Linked DNA regions of Caenorhabditis elegans. The protein of the gene in region 1 interacts with the protein of each later gene in a pairwise test. Each region holds a gene or a part of one and is shown in the gene's direction. Other genes may lie near its edges. The genes, in order: ifo-1 and sel-10.

Evidence for each region.
Region 2: the proteins of ifo-1 (region 1) and sel-10 interact in a two-hybrid assay, tested with the Caenorhabditis elegans proteins (3 studies listed by BioGRID).

What each region holds. Positions count from the first base shown.
Region 1 is NC_003282.8:7,319,731-7,330,330, reverse strand, and holds ifo-1 (Intermediate Filament Organize), read left to right. Parts: upstream 1-3,667; 5' UTR 3,668-3,668; coding exon 3,669-3,761; intron 3,762-3,812; coding exon 3,813-3,887; intron 3,888-4,520; coding exon 4,521-4,586; intron 4,587-5,004; coding exon 5,005-5,810; intron 5,811-5,852; coding exon 5,853-5,949; intron 5,950-6,047; coding exon 6,048-7,047; intron 7,048-7,378; coding exon 7,379-7,798; intron 7,799-7,846; coding exon 7,847-8,095; intron 8,096-8,142; coding exon 8,143-8,637; intron 8,638-8,684; coding exon 8,685-8,823; intron 8,824-8,870; coding exon 8,871-8,953; intron 8,954-9,004; coding exon 9,005-9,190; intron 9,191-9,270; coding exon 9,271-9,440; 3' UTR 9,441-9,597; downstream 9,598-10,600. Other genes in the region: ocr-4 (Ion transport domain-containing protein), read left to right, coding at 1-111, 186-431, 479-652; sqst-2 (ZZ-type domain-containing protein), read left to right, coding at 1,371-1,439, 1,484-1,634, 1,681-1,785, 2,042-2,445.
Region 2 is NC_003283.11:13,815,998-13,824,962, forward strand, and holds sel-10 (F-box/WD repeat-containing protein sel-10), read left to right. Parts: upstream 1-3,363; 5' UTR 3,364-3,367; coding exon 3,368-3,457; intron 3,458-3,522; coding exon 3,523-3,590; intron 3,591-3,632; coding exon 3,633-3,729; exon of another isoform or gene 3,730-3,852; intron 3,853-3,963; coding exon 3,964-4,098; intron 4,099-4,146; coding exon 4,147-4,292; intron 4,293-4,340; coding exon 4,341-4,460; intron 4,461-4,520; coding exon 4,521-4,913; intron 4,914-5,260; coding exon 5,261-5,486; intron 5,487-5,535; coding exon 5,536-5,718; intron 5,719-6,025; coding exon 6,026-6,167; intron 6,168-6,217; coding exon 6,218-6,381; 3' UTR 6,382-6,983; downstream 6,984-8,965. Other genes in the region: F55B12.2 (Carbohydrate sulfotransferase), read right to left, coding at 1-34, 81-215, 263-405, 451-503, 550-644, 913-980; hpo-31 (CCA tRNA nucleotidyltransferase 1, mitochondrial), read left to right, coding at 7,163-7,212, 7,266-7,422, 7,468-7,563, 7,612-7,729, 8,165-8,282, 8,334-8,917. UniProt on the Caenorhabditis elegans protein: Probable substrate recognition component of SCF (SKP1-CUL-F-box protein) E3 ubiquitin-protein ligase complex, which mediates the ubiquitination and subsequent proteasomal degradation of target proteins.

The sequences.
Region 1 (10,600 bases):
ATTATGAGTAACGTTGCGGAAAGCTACGTACGGATGTTTATCATGTCACTCACAGAGTTTACTGTATTTTTTGAGCAATTGGAAGAATGTGAGCATACCGTTATTGGAAAGGTAGGCTTACACTTTTTTTAAAACAATTCTAGACTAGAAAGATCATCGAAAAATATAGAATTTTTGATTTTCAGATAACATTCGTAGTCTATATGCTTCTCGTAACACTTTTGCTCATTAACATGCTTATTGCTATGATGACTAATACTTATACAGAAGTCTCTGGAAATTCATTAGAGTGGCTTCGACAATGGTCTGCAATTATTCTAATGATGGAACAAAGTTTTGATCCAGCAACCAGGTTACGGTATCAAAGAAGATATGGAATACGTTTTGATGGAGGTGAAAAACTAGTTTTATTGTTAAAAGATAAAATGACAGTGAGTTCCTCTTACACATTTGCCAATAGTTTGATGATAAATTTAAGGAGGAAGAATTCGAGTGCCAGCGGAAGAAAATGCACGAAGAGCGTCGTAAATTCCGTGAGGAACTTCGCACAAACCAGAGAAGACGGCCAGTATTTATATGCAAGCAAGGAGCAAATTATTTCAAATCGAAGCATCGACATACTAATAATAAGTTGATTATTCCTACCGGCTAATTTTTTTTACTGTTTCATTCTCTTCCTAAAATAATTTGTCTAATAAATGTTGGATCTTGTTAGTGAAAAATGTGGAAAGTTGATGTTTCTTCTTTGATTCCTCAATCTTGCTTTTTTAGAAACCTTTAAATTTGGCAGTGGAAAACTTTAAATGAAATGGATGTCTCAAATAGTTTCCGGATTTAATATGTTGCATTCAAATATTTTTATTTAAGACTGTTTAATTTAGAACATTTTAAAAGTGTTTTTTACTATTTTTTGGTACTGTTGCAGTAACCATAATCAAGTATAACGATATGAAAACTTTCAAAACGAACTGCTCAGCCAGTCCACAAGCGGCATACTGTTAGTTTATTTCGGCAAATTTTGTCAGTTCAATTTGAAAATTTATTTATTAAAAAAGGATTAAGAACTCACCCAAGAGAATGCCCATCGTTTTTAGTGTTATTTCTAGTGTTATACCAAGTCAATTCAGATATTTCAAAAAATGCAACATTCTCTGATGTGCCTTCTTCTTTTCTTTGCTTTGCTCTCCAAAAATGACTAACGAGTGGAATGTTATCTTATCAAAAACTGCATCATTCAGCATTTGACAAGAGTTTCACTGGCGCTGAAATCAACATTTTCACTTCTCGACTCTTCCTAACTTTTTTTCTAAAATTGCTCATTACTTCTATAGATTAACTTTTTAGTTTTGATTTAGTTTGGGTCAACAAAAATGAGTAGTATTCGATACAGGAGACCACCAATCATAGAACGAAGATATGAAAGAACTCCATCATATTCGGTAACTTCAAGAATATTCGATTTCAGTAATAAAACTGTTTTCAGACGATTCCAAGGGATATTCATGTCTCATTCTACCATAATAACTATCACAGATCAAAGATTTTGTATTTGAATAAGTTCAACGCAATGGAAAAATTAATTGAAGCTGCACACGAATTGTATCCATCAAATGGTGTTTATCGTCTATTTTCGGGTGAGTTTTTTGAAATGAAAAAATATTTGTAATAATTTTTTAATAGATAGTACAATTGGTGCTCAAAACGAGTTGAATGATTCAGTGCAAGTTATGGAATGTGTTCAAAATCCTGATCATATTCTTCCACATCTACATATAAGACTGGAAGGTAAGATTTTACGGAAAACTTTTTAAAAAACAGTTCCATAGTCCTATTATAACAACCTTGTTAGTTCTTTGTTAGATAATCTTACAATTTGAAAATTCAATTATTCAAATTAAGTTTTTTTAAAAAAAGGAACAATGATCTTTCAAAGTATTTTTTATTTTCAAATTTTGAGAAATTTCAAGTTGTTTTGCAAAGGTGTGTTCTTATGTAACTCAAAACTAATAGTAACAAAATTTTTAAAAATTTAATTTTTCAGATTACCGTCCCAGAAGCATAAGCCGTAATTATCACGAAGTTAACGTTCCAATAATTCGAACTCCATCTCAACATTCAATCCATCAATCTGTTCGATTCAACGATAACAAACGTCATCACCATCATCATCATCATGATTCAATAAGAAACTTCGTCCATCATGACACTCCATGCCGAAACTGTTTCCGTATAATTGTTGGAAGCCGTTATCACTGTCTTCAATGTCCAGACTATGATATTTGTGGAGACTGTGAAAAAGATTTGGTTCACTACGAGCATGCTCTTCTACGAATTGTGACTCCAAGGGTTACAAGTATTCCTGATTATGTCACAGTTAACGCCCCAAGTTACATTTTCCCAGAACATCGTTATGATATCAAAAGAGAACATTATCATTGGTTTTAAATTGTATTTTATAGTTTTGTTGTTTTTCCTATTTATGTTGTGAACTTAGTTTTTCTGTCGGATTTCTGTCCTATCTTGTTATACTTAAAAAGACCAAAAAAGTTATGTAATTGCAGAAGTGCAAAAAACCAAGACGCATCCTCCATTCAATTTTAATTTCCTGAAATCTATCTCGCAAAAAAAAAAACAAAAAAAAAAATTCCCTCTTATTTTGAATTTTAAAATTAAATTTTTCTTGTGCTTTTCAGAAATCTGTTCCAATTGAATTTTCATTCCTATTGACTTGTAGGACTAGAATTAATAACACCGCGGACCACCTTTATTGAGAATTTCAAAAACATTTTGTAGGCCATGTTTCCAATTTTTAATTGTCTTAAAATTAACACAATGTTTCAAAATTTCTATTTTAATTGGCTCCATAGAACACTTTTCCATGTAATTAGAAAATGCCTACCTGCCTGACACCTAGAAAGTGACCAACGCTTACTGTGCATTGAAAGCATGCAAGTAGGCATTTTTGCATGCGTGGGAGGTTTCTACAACTCAGCCAAAGCAGTCTATTGTACCTACCCATTCCTTATTTATTCTTCCGCAATCACCAATGACGCGTTCATGATTTTTCACTTTTTCAAAAACAAAATTTGATTGTCACTGCCCTTATTAACTTTTGCCCACGCTTATTAAATTAGTTTCACTCCTGCAATTCAAATCCTACTAAAACCTCTCTGAAAATGTTATTTCTCCTTTTTGTTCAATAAAACTCAAATTTGAACATATTCTGATTCTGAGTTACACAAATATTTTCAGTCCCTTCAACCTATCATAAACTTTGATATTTGCTCAACATTTTGGAGAAAGCGATGAAGGAGTCAAAAACGGGCGGCCCCGTTGCATTCCTCCTCCAAACGCACCAAAAACTGATAAGATGTTGTTAAGAAGAAGAAGGCACCAAAGAAAGATTCTCTTATCACATTTTTTGGCAGAGAGGGAAAGAATTGCGCCTATTTCAGTTGATTGTTCACCCACCATTTACTACACTATTCCAACATTTTTATTGACTCTTTTCGTTGGAATTTTCCATCGAGTTCAAGGAATACTACTTCCACTCTACCTTTTCAAACTTCTTTGTTGTTTGCTTAATTTTTTCCTAACTTTTTCACGACTGAAATTACGAATTCTCAAGTTCAACTGTCCGTTGTACAAAATTCGAATACGATTTCAGCATGGGAGACCTACAAGTCGACTTGAATGCAGCACTTGTAGCCGTTAAACAGAAATGTGTGGACTTGGATGAACAAATTCGAAGAGAGAATGATGTAAGTTGTGTTCAAGATCCATAGAAAATGTAAATTTTCTGGTTTTTTCAGAGATCAGAAAATCGCGGACGTGGATATCTGGGAGTTCGTCGATACATCTATGCATTGACCACCAAGAAGAATGAGGTCTGTTTTTATTTTAAAAGTGTTTTTTTTTTGAAAGAGCTGGCATTAATTTTATTTTGGACTAATTTTTCAAAATTCCGCAATTCGCCTACGATATTTGCAACTCATTGCTCTACTTTGACAGCTCTCGGTTCACTTTGGGTTTATGTTATCAAAAAATTGCCAACTGACAAAATACGCGCATACTATTTTTTCTATATTTTGCTTATTAAACAACTGTTATAAAAGACAACCAAGATATAAATAAAGCAGTTTGGGTGCAAGTCTAATAGTGAAAATACGGTAAATGTGCACTTAACTTTTAATCATTTTTTCTGATTTAATTTCGATGTTTCACACAAAAACCACAAAACACAAAAGTTTAGTATTTTAGAGAAACTATGTTTTCCAAATTTCGACCTCAACTTTGACTCATTCTTAATCCCCTCCTACCTTCCAAAAATTTAATTAGTCATCATAATTGCGGATTGCAAATGCCACAGTGCGTAGTAAAATATCAAAATTTCGGCCGCAATCACTGATAACAGATGCCATTTCTTTTTGTTTAGAAGCATTGTGCAAGTGTCATAAAATGAGAAGGAAGTAGGCGATTCGGGGTGATGATGACGTGGCAAACATTGAAAGTATTTTCAGAACCATCTACAACGACGTGGGCGATCTTTGACAAGGGTGTACGTGGAACAAAAGTTTTACAGATCTGTGAGTTTTTGAAAATGAGAAAGTTGTTTTTGTTATTTTTGGGTTGGGTACAAATTCGTATCATTCTGAAGAACAGGTGTTATAATGCTTTGATAAATCGTTAATACGATATTGAACTTTTCAAGACTATTTTTGAAGACTATTTTAGAAGATGATTGTGCATTGTACATAGAATTACCAATGTGATAAACTGTATGTAAAAAAACTACCAGAAATGTTTTAATGCTTCATCTATTTTTTGTTTTTAAAAAAACAGCAAAAAAGGTTATTTCATAGTTCAATATTTATGAAACAAATAGTAAAAGAGTGCAAACATTTAGAATTAAAAAACAACAAAAATGCAGAAAATAAACGTTTTCGATATTTAAGTTTTTCAAATAAAATCAACGAAATAAATATTCATAATTCCTCCTTTCAGAAATCTGTACCATCTCCGGATCAAGTTCAACGCCTCGAGGATTGCACACAGGATTACGGACCAAATGATGAAGAACGCCTGGAATACGTGGAAACTGTTGATGCTCCATTGGAAGAGCTCATTAAAGAAGATCAGTCTCATCGCCATGTCGTCTCACAAAGACTTCCACAAGGGCACGGAGAATGGGATCATGAACTTGCAGTTTATGAAGAAGATGGTGGTTCTGGGCTTTTGGAGGATCGAACACTGACTGTGAGAGCTGGAGATCATCCTTTCGGAATGAATCAATTCAACGAAGTGGCAGAGGATATTAGTGCAAGAATCGCCAAGTTTTTTGCTGAGAAAGAAGAGAACCACATCAGAACTCGTGAGCTTTCTCTTTCAGTTCATCCAGTTTATCATCAAAGTAATGGAGATGCATACACTTCATTTGGAATGTCCAGGTCAAAATCAATGGGATCAGTTGCTCACGAAGCACATCAAACATCTAACAATCAACATAGTTCTGAAACTCATGGAACTGCTTCTTCAACTCAGTCACGACCACGTTTGGATCAAGTCTCTTCCACTACAAAGTCCTTAAGCAATTTGTTTAGTGTTGACACTCGTCATGACTACAATTCTCGATATGGAAATTATGTATCTGGATATGGACATTATGGAACACCACTTCCACCAGCGAAAAATCAAGAAGTAATGCCAAAAATGCCAGCGAAGAAGTCGGAGCACATTTATGATGAGCCAATTCATAGAACATCTACCACAAATGTGTATTCAAGCACTTATGAGAGAAAATATGACTTCAAGTGAGTACCAAATCTGTAATTGATTGCTAAACTTTTTTATAGAACAACATTCCCACCAGAAATCGAAATGCCAGAAGGATATCACGATTATTATGATCCGAGCAAGTTCATGTTCTTGGATGCAAAAGGTTATTATCAGGTGAGCAAAAAAAACTTGAATTGGAAGACAATTTTTGAATACTTGACTTGTAAATTTAATAGAACCAAATTATTCTCAGTCCATCCAATTTTTTTCAGGGCAACATCACTCGCCCACTTCACTATTCCTACTCTCGTGACTATCTAGAAAAGTACTCGGACTACGACGGAACATCACGACTTCCATCTCCAGCTCCTCCAAAGACCCCGGAGCCAGCATACACTGTGCTCAATAGATCAGAAGATCTCCCACATCACCCTACCCATTTGTCTTTCTCGTTCCCAGACTATTACGATCACGCCACTCAAATCATTCTCAGTCGTGATCCTGGACTTGAACATATTCCATATAAAATTGGGCCATTTGCTGATTACTATGACAATGTTCATCGTATCATTCTGTCGCATACCAAAGATTTGGATCATTGTAAAATTGTAATTCCGTCGTTCCCAGATTACTATGATCTGTCAACTAGATATGAAGTGCTTCATCGAGTTGAAGACATTCTTCATGAGCCAATTGTGATCGAGGAATATCCGGCATATTGTCCATATGAAGACACGAAATATGAAGTACAAGAGAAATCTGTGACATTGGACGATGAGCATATATACGAGGAAGTGTATGAACCTCCACTACCTCCACTTCCACCTCCAGCACCACCAATAGTTGTTCATGTTCTGAACTACACTAGAGATCACGATCACATTGTATTCGTCCCATTGCTTCCTTACATTCCACCACCACCTCCACCTCCAGCAGAGATTATTCACGTTGCAACTCCAGCTGAAGTAATTGAAGAAGAACCAGAGCCAGTTCCAGTGCCAGCTAAACGTCATTATGATGATCTTTATATCGGAAATGACGCTCTTGATGTATCAGTGTCTCCACATTTTAATCAATCCAATGATCAAAAGAATTTGGGATTAGAAAAGAGTGTCACTGATAGAGTTAGAGAAATGGAAAGAGCAATGAGAGGAGAAGAAAGGGAAAGACTTTTGGAAGAAGAAAAGCGAAGGAAATATCTGGAACTTCAGAATGAGATTAAGGCAGCACGGGAATACGAAGAAGAACATGCATATGAAGAGATTCAAGAAAGTGAGTTGACTTTTGATTGAATAATAAGTTAAGAAGCAACGATTCCGCCATAAAAGCAAAGTTGATACGTAGAATAGGTTGTATTCAAACGAAATATGAAATTTCCAATCGAATTATAGAAACTTCTACCCCATCTTCACCTTGTAAGATTAAATGTGATAAAAGGAAATTACCAAATCGTGAGTGTGTTGTAGAATTTGACTAGAAATGGAAGATGAAATAGATAATAGTAGTATAGATTTCCCTGCAATCTTCGGTGAAAATGACAGCTTTTTGAATGATATCAATAGCTAAAATTCCCATCATTCCCACCAAATTTTTACTGTTTCAGGCAAGAACACTCCTTGTCCAGTATCACAGCCTATTCTTATTCCATCGGTGTTTGTCCCAGTGGCAGTTCCAGAACCTATCCCGGAGAAACCGAAACGAACATGGCAGCCACCTCCAAAATCCGAAGAATTTTTGGACGAGCATATTGACAAGCCACTTGGCCCTGTCATTTTCCATGAGTTGATCTACCGCAACGGATTTTTGCTTAAAATGAATGAAGAAAATCATATTCTAAGTCAAACCCGTCCAGTCAGTCATCCAGTTTCTCGTGCCAACTCTCGACCAACGACGCCTGGATTAGAGATCAAAACTATCGATTTTCCACGTCTCGATGATGCCGCATCCCCAAGAGATCACTCTGATTCTGCTGGAAATGTTGATTATGTGCATAAACATATCGAACGGTACAATGCGAAGGATGGTAATGATCTGATTAAAACTGTTTATATCTAAGAAAGTGTATTTTCAGCCTCTGTTGTCCAAGATTCTCACGACGAGAGTCGAGCTCATTCGCATATGCTTTCAAATACCGTCCAAACTCATACACATTCTCAATTAATCAATCAGAATCAGGCGACTCATTATGATGCTTATGCTACTTCTCAACACTCGAATGCTCAAGAGTATTCAACTGTTCATGGATCACAAACTCATCGAGGAAGTGTAGTATATGATGAACCACATGGACAAGTTGTCTATGATATTCCACACGATCAAGGTAAAATATTTAAATTATAATTGAAAATATAAAATTTTCTGTTTCAGAACATCACCATTATGACACTGTTCACGTTCAACACCATCATCATCATCATTATCATACAGATGGCAGTGAACATGTTCATCACTATCATCAAGATGAAAATGCTCATCAACACAGTACAGCTGAAAATGAACATATTCATCACTATCACACAACATCAAATGAAAATGCTCACCATCATCACTCGGTTCAAAATGAGAAAGATATTCAATATCAGCTGGCTCAAAGCAACCAATCGATTCGACAAATGAGCAAGACCAACAACTGGGATGAACAAAATATTCAATCATCAAAGAGAGCTCACATTGAGGCACACATTCCGGTTAACTCACCATTTGTGAAAAGAGAAGATTCAAGAGTTAGCACCACTTCTCATGTGAGCACAGCTTCAACTGCAACTACCACGGGAACTGTTGTTCAGTGCTCGAACTCGTTGAATCGCCAAAATATTCCAGCTCCATTGAAAATTCAAAACGGAAACTCAGAGTCCTATCACGGTATGACATGTTTCAAAGAGGTGTTTCTATAAATCTCGTAATTTCAGAACACAATCATCACCAGCATGTGCATTTTGACAGTGTTGAAAATTCGGAAAACATTGCTCATCAATGTAAATCAACAACTTCCTTGGACTACCAGCCAGTTCATGTCGGACATGTCAAAAATTTGGCAAAACTTTTCAAGTTCGTAGATTCTTTTTAATTTCTAGATTTTAATTCTCGAATTCCAGTAAGCCCGACGAGAAGCCACTGACAACTGAGCAAGTGATCTACCGTGTCAGTGCTGCACCACCTGGTCATCACTTGGAACCAGGTATTTGACATTTCGTCAGCTGATTCTTTTTAGTTTCAAAATAATATTCAGAGATTAAACCTCGTCCACGTTCTTTGCCCCGCATTCCACTTGATGAGATTGAACTCCATGAGCATGGAAGTAAAGATCATATGACACGTCATCATCATGAAATGCACCAGGGTACTGTAGATGAGCACAGTGAACATGGTTATTCTATTGGTGGTGGTGCACAAAGGATTGATGTTTCAGCAAGAAGTAAGTTTGAAAAATCTAAAAGAATTATCACCATCCGCTGAACGTCTAATAATAAATATTTCTACAATCAGAATTTTCAGCTTCATCAACAGTGATGCACTCTCCACCTGTCCAAGTTCAACACAACTCATACTATCATCGTCAGTCATCAGACGAGGAGTCAATCCGTGTTCGTCGTGTCTACAAGGCCCTAGATGACACTTCAATGCTCTCTCCGGTCTCCTTGTCCGGCGATGGACCAAATTTTTAAATTCCGAATAAGAAACAATTTCATCTCCGTTGATTTCATTGCCTCTAGACTTTCAAATTGATTCAACAATTCTTAATCTTCCGATTTCGGTCAGAAAATACCTGTCATTTTCAATTTTTGTTTGTATTCCTAACATTTTCTAATAAACTTAACTGTGAAGTCCAGCCCCGCCAAGAATAACGAGCATTTCCTTATGAGGCCCAGGGGGAACATTCAGAACTTGACACTCGAAATTACAATGCAATGAGGGCCGTAAGATTATCTTTTCAGAAAATATATTTTTGAACCAATTTCCAGTTTAATGACCATAGATCATTGCATGCCACTCACCGAAAATTGAAATTTGGCAACAAACATTTTGGATCTTCCAACAAAAAAAAATGCATACACTTGTTCATATTTTTTGCAATGTCCAACGTATCCCTTATGACTAACGTGAAATGTTTATATAAATACATTGTTAGTGTCATAGTCTCTACGCCTTTCTTTTCTTTCTCTGTTTTTTCTCTGCGTCTCTTCATCCCATCCACTATTTTCTCACCTCTAACTCTTCCGGGGGCCCCGTCAACAACGGCCGCCTCCTACCCGGTCGCTGGCGCGCTCTCTTTCTCGTATCTTTTTGTTCTCAATTTCTCAAAATCTCTCTATATTTACCCAGTGCTTCTTAACTTTTTTGTCACACGTCTCTCCACAACGAGGAACAGCCGCAGAACAGAAACAGAAACATACGCGTGCGCGCGCGCCTCTTTCTCTCCGTCGGTCTGCCTGAAAATGAGAGGATGCGGGGGGCTTCTCTGTTCCTCTAACTTCCTGCGTTTCTTCATTTGTTGTCTATCTCTCATTTTTGGGTCGCTTCATTCTCTCTTAGTTCCTCTGTGAGGGAGGCTTGATGAATTGAGTGCATTCTCTCTTTCTCTCATTACGAAAAGGGCATTATCCTTTCGAGCTTCATCTTATTGTCTTTTTCCTTAAAAAATTACCTAAGTGGCCCTTTAACTTCTAGATAGACCTTGGATTTAGACTCTATCGTTTACATCCTCTATTTCAATTAAGCAAAATCCATTTTGCATTCCATATATCATATTATTTCTCACAGAAATAAGCTCTTACTCGAGCAAGTTCCCCAATATAATCCGCCTTATTCCCACCAGCAACCGGAT
Region 2 (8,965 bases), on another chromosome or scaffold:
CATATTGTCACCGCAATCCCAGCATCCATTGTCACTAAAAATGTGGCATGTTTCTCTTAAGTTTAGAGAACTCAACTCACTTTTTACAAACGTGCAAATAGAATGAGATGAATCTATCAAAGGGATCCCGGATGAACGCAAATTTTGTGAGATTTTGATATTGTTCCACGTTTTTTTGAGGAATGTGGAACTCTGGATCTTTGTGAGAGCATACTCTGAAAAAGTTTTTGACTACTTTAAAGAATTAGAGAGACTATTGTACCTTTCAGACATCCACGTATCATTTAAAGATCGATTTTGGTTCTGAAACTCTGTTTCATTGTGTAGTAAGCACATTATATTGATTAAAAGTTGGGACATCGATTTTCGAATTCCACATGATAAAATCTTATATTTAGGAGCAATCTGAAACAAGACTGATCTTCTAGGACAGCACTTTCTAAAACGTACAAATAGATCCGATCTAATATTTACATATGGTTGGATGAAGTCAAGGTGATTATCTGACATTAGAAGAAGTATGCTTCTAGTGCAAGTTTCAACAGTTACCTCTAAGTTGGCGAATTTCAGATGCCATTCCGTAATAGTATAAGATAACTATGAAGTTGATGGCAAATGCTTGAAATATGATTCTGTTTTTTGAACTGAAACAGTTTAAGCATTAAAGGAAGCATTGAAATCAATACAAAATTAAAATTGAAAAACAAAAAACTAAACCATTGAGGTCTGAAACATTCTTAGTTTAAAAAGTGAGTATTTTGCAATAAAACACATGCTTTGGCTTCTAAATTCACAGATTTGAAACGTTACAGAACTTATTTCAGCAATCGAATTAAAAGAAAATTTCCCATAAAATGCTGTAATCATTTTTTCCCTGAAACCTACAGTAGTATCGAGTCCTAATCAACTTACCGATCCGCAGACTGTTTTCTAACAATTTTCAGATTTGTCAGTAGAAATAAATGCCCATTCTTGGTCATGATCATTTGGTAACCATAAAAGATCGTCGTTGTCTTTTGATTCTCGTTTGCCAAATAGAGCAAGACACGGTTGTTTGATGCCAAAACGGAGGGAGTAGACACAAAAATGGGACAGAATAGAGTGTGGAGTGATTTTTAAAATGTAAACATTTCCAGGATATGAGCCACAAAAAGGGATATAGACCGGCAGCAAACATTACTGTACATGATGTATGAAAAAAAGAATGCCGACCAATCAAAATCACATTGAACGATGGTTGTGTCTGGATCTCAATGATCTCGGATGAAAATGGGAGTAATTAAATTGTGCCTAAAAGTAGTTTCAAAGTTGCATCCATTTTTGATGCTTCCACTTCAACTTTTGAACACACGTAGATTACCAGAATTTCAAATCGGATCAGAAAGTAAATACCGTAGTTCTTTTGTTGTAGGGGTGGGCGGTAATCAAGGAATTTTCTAAAAAATGTTCAATTTCGGCAATTTCTGAACATGCCGTTTTTCGATAAACCAACAAACAGATCATCATATTGTAATCAAAAAGTTTGTAAGTTGGCCATTTATATTTGAAAATAAATAAAGCTCTACAAAAATAATACATTTGTTTTTCTGAAATACCCATTTTTAATAATTTGTGGGCAACATATAATAGTCTTAACAACAGACTGAACACTTTTTAATTTTAAATCAGGTATACCCACTATTTCATTTTCTAGACACCATACCGAAAACCCTAAATTTTGGCAACACGTATGATGTTGGTATTTGATTTTATCCTTAAATTTACAATTAGAGCTCATTTTTATTCTGTTTTTGTTTCTATAGTTTTGCAGTTCAAATTTTAATTATAATGTGAAAATCTTCCAAGAAAACATTTTTTCAGCTTTCCAAAATCGTTCTACAGAAATTTCCGAATTGGTCAGGTCTCTTTCAACTAATCGAATTTTTTGACATACTGGAGCTGGACTAGTATCAAAATTGCCAAATTATTTTAATTTAATTATTTTCATGTTTCGTCGTCCTTTTTTTATCGAAATGATATAGGTAGAAAGGCGTGAAAATAAAAATATATTTCACGAATTTATTGTCTGATACCAACGTCATTCTTGAATAGATTTGGATTTTATTTCAGTTTTTATTTCACTAAATAAACATATCAAAAGTGTTGGAAATTGTGGCTCCTCCTGAAGTCGAACAATCGGAATTTCCGTTTTCAGAGAATGTAGGCTATTTCAAATAATCGTATTTTTCGGTTTTGTGCAATTTCTAGCATATTGAATATATATCTTGCAAATGTGATGTGTTGCTGACAAATATGAATTTTAACTTTCGCTGATAAATATCAGTACAATTTATGAATTGAATCCTCTCAATCACATCTCAATTCTTTCATATTCGTCCCCCCGCAATACAAAGCCAATAAAGTGTGAAAAACAAAGAAATGGAGCAAATAGTGAGCTATGACTCAACTAACGTATTTCAGATGGGAATTGCAGTTTAGTCATGAATGTGTTATCATATCAGAAATAGTTCTTGACATTTGTGAAGAAATATTATACAGAAATTCCAAAGCGATTGTTTCCAATTGTGGCAGGTGTTCGTGTCTCTTTTTCTGTCAGTTTATGGTATTCATTTCCATAAAATTACCCCCTCGGTAGCCACAGATGGTCATAATTCTTTTGAATTCAGTTATGGAAATACCACATTACGTTCAGAATGTTACAGATTTTAAATCATTTTTCTTTTGTGGTTGTAAATTGAATCACTTGTTTTAAAAAACCATATTACCTATATGTATTATTTTATTCAAAAACTGAATTAATATACTCAGTTTAAAATTTCAAAACAAGAGTTTTCGTGGGATGCAGTTCGTTTTTTAAATTCCTTATTATCCTGAAATTTATAAGGATGGTTTACTTGTGCAATACGAAACAACCTTTCCGTAAAAATGATTTTGAAACAAGGTTGAACACATTTTTCTGCACCATCATGAAGGACGAGAACCCAGCTGTCATATGCAACAGCAGTGACCATCGAACACCTGCTTCTTCTGTGAAACTGATTATGTGACCGACAAGTCGGACATTTTATATTTTATTTTACACGAGAATATTTGTTGAAGTTATCTTATCAACTTTATACACTTTATATGCATAGAAAATGTTTCATCGTGTGAACATCAAGTGAACAAACGTGCGCGTCGGAAAATGCGTCAAGCGGTTATTGGCGCACTACTGGATGCCTTGACGCATATCGCGTGCAAAAAGCTTTCATCTTCTCTTCTCATTTTCTCACGAAAATCATAGTTTTATCGACTTTCCTTTTGTGTTCAAATTCTTCATTCCCAGTAGTTTTTGTCCTTTATTCATTTCCAATTCTTTTTCAGCCATATGTGGCCACGAAATGATGTACACATGGATGATGGATCGATGACACCGGAGGACCAGGAGCCTGTTACCGATAATGATATGGAATATAATGTATGTTAACATTTACAACCCTTTTCAGAATATAATTTAATTCTAATTGAAATGTTTGTCTTCAGGACAATGGAGAAGAAAGCTCGTACAGCAATGGCTCTTCTTCCAGCTACAATGCTGACAAATTATCGTCGTAAGCCTTTTTGTAGTGAATATTTATAGCAAAACGTACCAGTTCCAGACCTTTGCAACACAAACTTGATTTATCGGCTTCTCCCTCTCGAAACAACGACCTCAATCCGCGTGTCGAACATTTGATCGCATTATTCAAGGTAAACATATTGATTGATTGTCGCGATCAATCTTTCAGCGTTGCGGCTAATACACATGCAATAAATTAATATTTGAATGCGACAATAATTAGTAACATGACAAAACAATGCATTCAAGCTCCGGTGAGGGTGACCTGTGTATTATTGATTTTTCCAAACCTTGAAGAGAGCACCTCAGCCAGGCATATTCGCTCTATTTTTGCTGAAAAAAAGTGTAATTTGAATTCATTTTAGGATCTATCAAGCGCGGAACAAATGGATGCATTCACACGTCTGCTTCAGGAATCCAACATGACAAATATTCGACAGCTGCGTGCCATTATTGAACCCCATTTCCAGCGTGATTTCCTCTCCTGCCTCCCTGTCGAGGTATTTGTGTTGAAACGGAAAGAAAAATTATAAATATAACTTTTTCAGCTCGGAATGAAAATCCTTCACAATTTAACCGGATATGACCTGCTCAAAGTGGCACAGGTGTCGAAAAATTGGAAATTGATATCTGAAATTGACAAAATTTGGAAGAGTCTTGGTGTCGAAGAGTTTAAACATCATCCAGATCCCACGTAATACTTTTGAACGGGAATTATTTGAGATTAGTATTATCTTTTCAGAGACCGAGTTACTGGTGCGTGGCAAGGAACTGCAATTGCTGCTGGAGTCACTATTCCTGATCACATTCAGCCATGTGATCTTAATGTTCATCGATTTCTAAAGTTGCAGAAGTTTGGAGAGTACGTTTATTGGAAATATTATTTTTAAAGACGTTCCGATCACATTCGATTTATTTTCAGTATCTTCGAACGCGCTGCTGACAAGTCACGTTATCTTCGAGCCGATAAAATTGAAAAGAACTGGAATGCGAATCCAATTATGGGGTCAGCAGTGCTACGAGGACACGAAGATCATGTAATCACTTGTATGCAAATTCATGATGATGTCTTGGTGACTGGATCTGACGATAACACTCTTAAAGTATGGTGTATTGACAAAGGAGAGGTTATGTACACACTAGTCGGCCACACTGGAGGAGTTTGGACATCACAGATTTCTCAATGCGGAAGATATATTGTTAGCGGGTCCACTGATAGAACTGTAAAAGTTTGGAGTACTGTAGATGGTTCACTTCTTCATACACTTCAAGGACATACTTCCACTGTTCGATGCATGGCTATGGCTGGTTCCATGTAAGGCTATTCACTATGATAACTGCTTGGAAAAAGAAATTTAATACTGAAAATTTCGGGTTTCGTACAGTTGAATTCCCTAATTTGCGAGCTATATCAAATCTTGATGGAAAGTTTTTGATTTGTAGATCATTTATATCTTAAGAAAATTATTCTATCTAATTTCACAAAAAAAGTTTATGGTAATTTTTTTAAAACTTTTGTTTCAAAATAGAAAAACACGAACGTGTATTTGGTTGTTTAAGACTTTTTTAATACATTTTCTATCTTAAAAATGAGAAGAAAACGAAAAATCTCGCTGAATAACCACACTTTCAACCCATACATTTTAATTTTAATACTTTCAGACTTGTCACTGGATCACGAGATACCACTCTTCGTGTATGGGACGTAGAATCCGGACGTCACCTGGCAACTTTACATGGCCATCATGCAGCCGTTCGATGCGTTCAATTCGATGGAACAACTGTTGTTTCGGGAGGATATGATTTTACCGTTAAAATTTGGAATGCTCATACTGGGAGATGTATCCGTACTCTGACCGGTCATAACAATAGAGTTTATTCTCTTCTCGTACGTTTTTCTTATAACAAAATCCGAAAAATAATGTTTTTGTTTTCAGTTTGAAAGCGAGCGATCGATCGTGTGCTCTGGCTCTCTGGACACTTCAATTCGCGTGTGGGATTTTACACGACCGGAAGGCCAAGAATGTGTGGCTCTTTTGCAAGGACACACCTCACTTACATCCGGAATGCAACTTCGAGGCAATATTCTCGTGTCATGCAATGCAGATAGCCATGTTAGAGTAAGTATAGAGATGTAAGATTGAGAAACTTGTCATAGTTAAACATTTGTACGAGAGTCTGAATCGCTCTCCTGTTAAACAATTAGAGACCAATTCCAATTAATAAAATTGGTCCTGATGTTTCACTGCGTTTTCTGTCTCTCTGCGGCTGTTTCTACAAAAGCCAATATTCGATGGCAAACAAAGGTGTACGGATCTGAAATGATTTTCAAAAGTATGGAAAAGCACAAAAGCGTAGTAGATAAAGTAACCCTCACATTGTGAGAACATTGAAAAATTGTATTATTTTTTTAAATCATTTTTTCAGGTATGGGATATTCACGAGGGAACTTGTGTACACATGCTTTCTGGACATCGATCCGCTATCACTTCACTTCAATGGTTTGGACGAAATATGGTAGCAACGAGTAGTGACGATGGAACTGTCAAATTGTGGGATATTGAGAGAGGTTAGATCACATAAATTACAGATAGTTTTACCCATAAAAAAATTTTCCAGGTGCACTGATTCGAGATCTAGTAACTTTGGATTCTGGAGGCAATGGTGGCTGTATTTGGAGACTTTGTTCTACTTCTACGATGCTAGCGTGTGCAGTCGGATCTCGTAACAACACCGAGGAGACCAAAGTTATCCTTCTCGACTTTGATGCTGTATACCCTTAACGAATTCTCGAATCTCTGCCCCTGTACATAGAATGTTCTTGCTTAGGAACTAATATTGTACACGATGCCCTCATTTTTAAATCAACAATGCTATCATATCATGGAATATAGTCAAAAGCCAACAGTATTGAAACGTCAAATTTGAGGAAAAACGAATTTATGTGTCTATTCAACTCGTTATATCCCGGCCCGCCACTATAATTTTTCTTTTTTTTACTATTTTTTGTCAGATTCTGTCTCACACTCTTCTCTTTCTCTTTTCGATTGTTTCCCATTAAGTTATCGGGTTTGATTGATTTTATATTTTTATTCAAATGATGGGCTCACTACTCCCAGATTTTGATTTCCTTTATACAATAGTTCAGTCAGTATGTTAGTCCTTATGTGACTTCTTTTTGATCTAATGAGCTTTTTAGTCCCTGTCGGTTCCCTCTTTTTTCGCTTTCATTTTTCGTAAAAACTACTTGTCAAAATTCAAAGTTCTACCCTCGACATTGCCTTTTTTAAAATTTTTGTCTTCGTTTTATCGACTTATGCCAGACGTCATTCGATTAAGTAGGTTAATAACAATTATTTCATAATAATAAATATCGATTCGTGTCATCCGTCTATATGTGATTTTCTTTTAATATCTCTATTGGAGATTTCTCCAAATTATCCTGTAATTTTTCAGTGAGTGAATATCAGCTTTATGAAGTTTGTGTCTAAATTTTTGACCCCAACTACAATAATTAGTTTAACAACCAGAAGTCTATCAACAGCAAAAACTCCAACATACATCATGAATCAAATTGAGCCAACTACAATGAAAATTGATAATGAAGATTTTCGGCAAGTTCCGGATATTTGAAGAATCGTTTTAAGTTTAATTCTATATTTTTCAGAACTCTCTTCACACCTCAACTTTTGAAACTCCGTGATTTATTCGCCAAACGAAATTATGAGCTTCGAATTGCCGGTGGAGCTGTTCGAGATCTACTTATGAACATTCGACCGGCTGACGTTGACTTTGCCAGTACTGCAACACCGACTCAAATGAAGGTTTTAATTGTTTTCCAAATCTCAAAAAAAATATATTTTATTCAGGAAATGTTCGAAGAGGATAAAATTAGAATGCTTCATAAAAGAGGCGAAGAGCACGGAACAATCACGTGTCGCATTGACGATTGTGAAAACTTTGAGGTATTTAGTTTTTAGTTTAATAAATTTAATCTATATACATTTTCCCAGATCACAACGCTTCGTGTAGACATTGTGTGTGATGGAAGAAGGGCTCAAGTTGAATACACAACTGACTGGCAACTTGATGCAAATAGAAGAGATCTTACTATCAATTCACTGTTTTTGGGTTAGTATAGAAATTGGAAATTGAAAGCACTCCGCCCCCGAACCATGGGTCTCGTTAGGAATTGTCAGCAAAACCGTAAATTGAAACTTTCAATTAGTTTCGGCACTTCCGCCAAATTTCAAACATTTTCTGTTTTTTCCTGTTTTTAAAAATAATTTTTATACGGAATTGGATTTAAAATTTATAGTAATATGAAAACCCATTATTCACCTTTCAAATCCGCATAAATTTTTTCAAATCATCATTAGGAAATGAAAAATAATCAAAAACAACAGAAAATCGCCGAAATTAATTGAAAACGTGTGCATTCACGGGCTTTCCGCTAAATACCTAACGAGACCCATAGTTTGTGGGCGGAGTTTTTCAATTGGCAATGGAGCGCGTTCCCATAATATTATATTCTTTGCTCATGAAATATTGGAATTTCTTTTACAGATCTTCATGGAAACGTTGTCGACTATTTCGGTGGAATCAGAGACATTGAAACTCGGCGCATCGCTTTTGTTGGAGACGCTCGTCAGAGAATCCAGGAGGACTATTTACGAATTCTTAGGTTTTTACAATTATCATACATTTTCCTGTTATCAAAATCTCTATATTTCAGATATTTCCGTTTCTTTGGACGAATCAGTGACTGTACGGAACACGAGCACGACACAATTCAGGCGATTGTAGAGAACAAGGATGGTATGGCGGGAATAAGTGCCGAGAGAATTTGGACAGAACTCAAAAAGATTGTGGTTGGAAGAATGGCTGATGAGGTGTTAAAAGCGATGATTGAACAATGTGAATTACAAAAATATCTGGGACTTCCGAAGGAATGCAATCTAGAGAGATTTCATACAGTTTTTAATAGGTTTTCAAAAACTGTCGAGCCAATGACAATGATTGCATGCCTGTGTGAGGATGAACATCAAATCGCCGAATTTCATCGTATTACGAAGCTCTCGAACGATGAACGTCTCCTCGGTGAATTCATTCTTAGTGAACGACAATCTGCTGTTGAGAATTTAAAAAACGATGACTGGTGGATTGATAGAATTGTTGATTTGGAAGTACGTCCTGGTCACGAGAATCAACAGGATCGACTTCGTCAGCGACTTGTCCAACTTGCCAAAAGTGTGCTCGCTGATGAAGAAAGAATTCAAATGATTGAGAATTTTGAAGCTCCCAAGTTTCCAATAACTGGTTGGTTTTTTTTTGTAATATTGAATTAGAAATATTCAAAATTTTCCT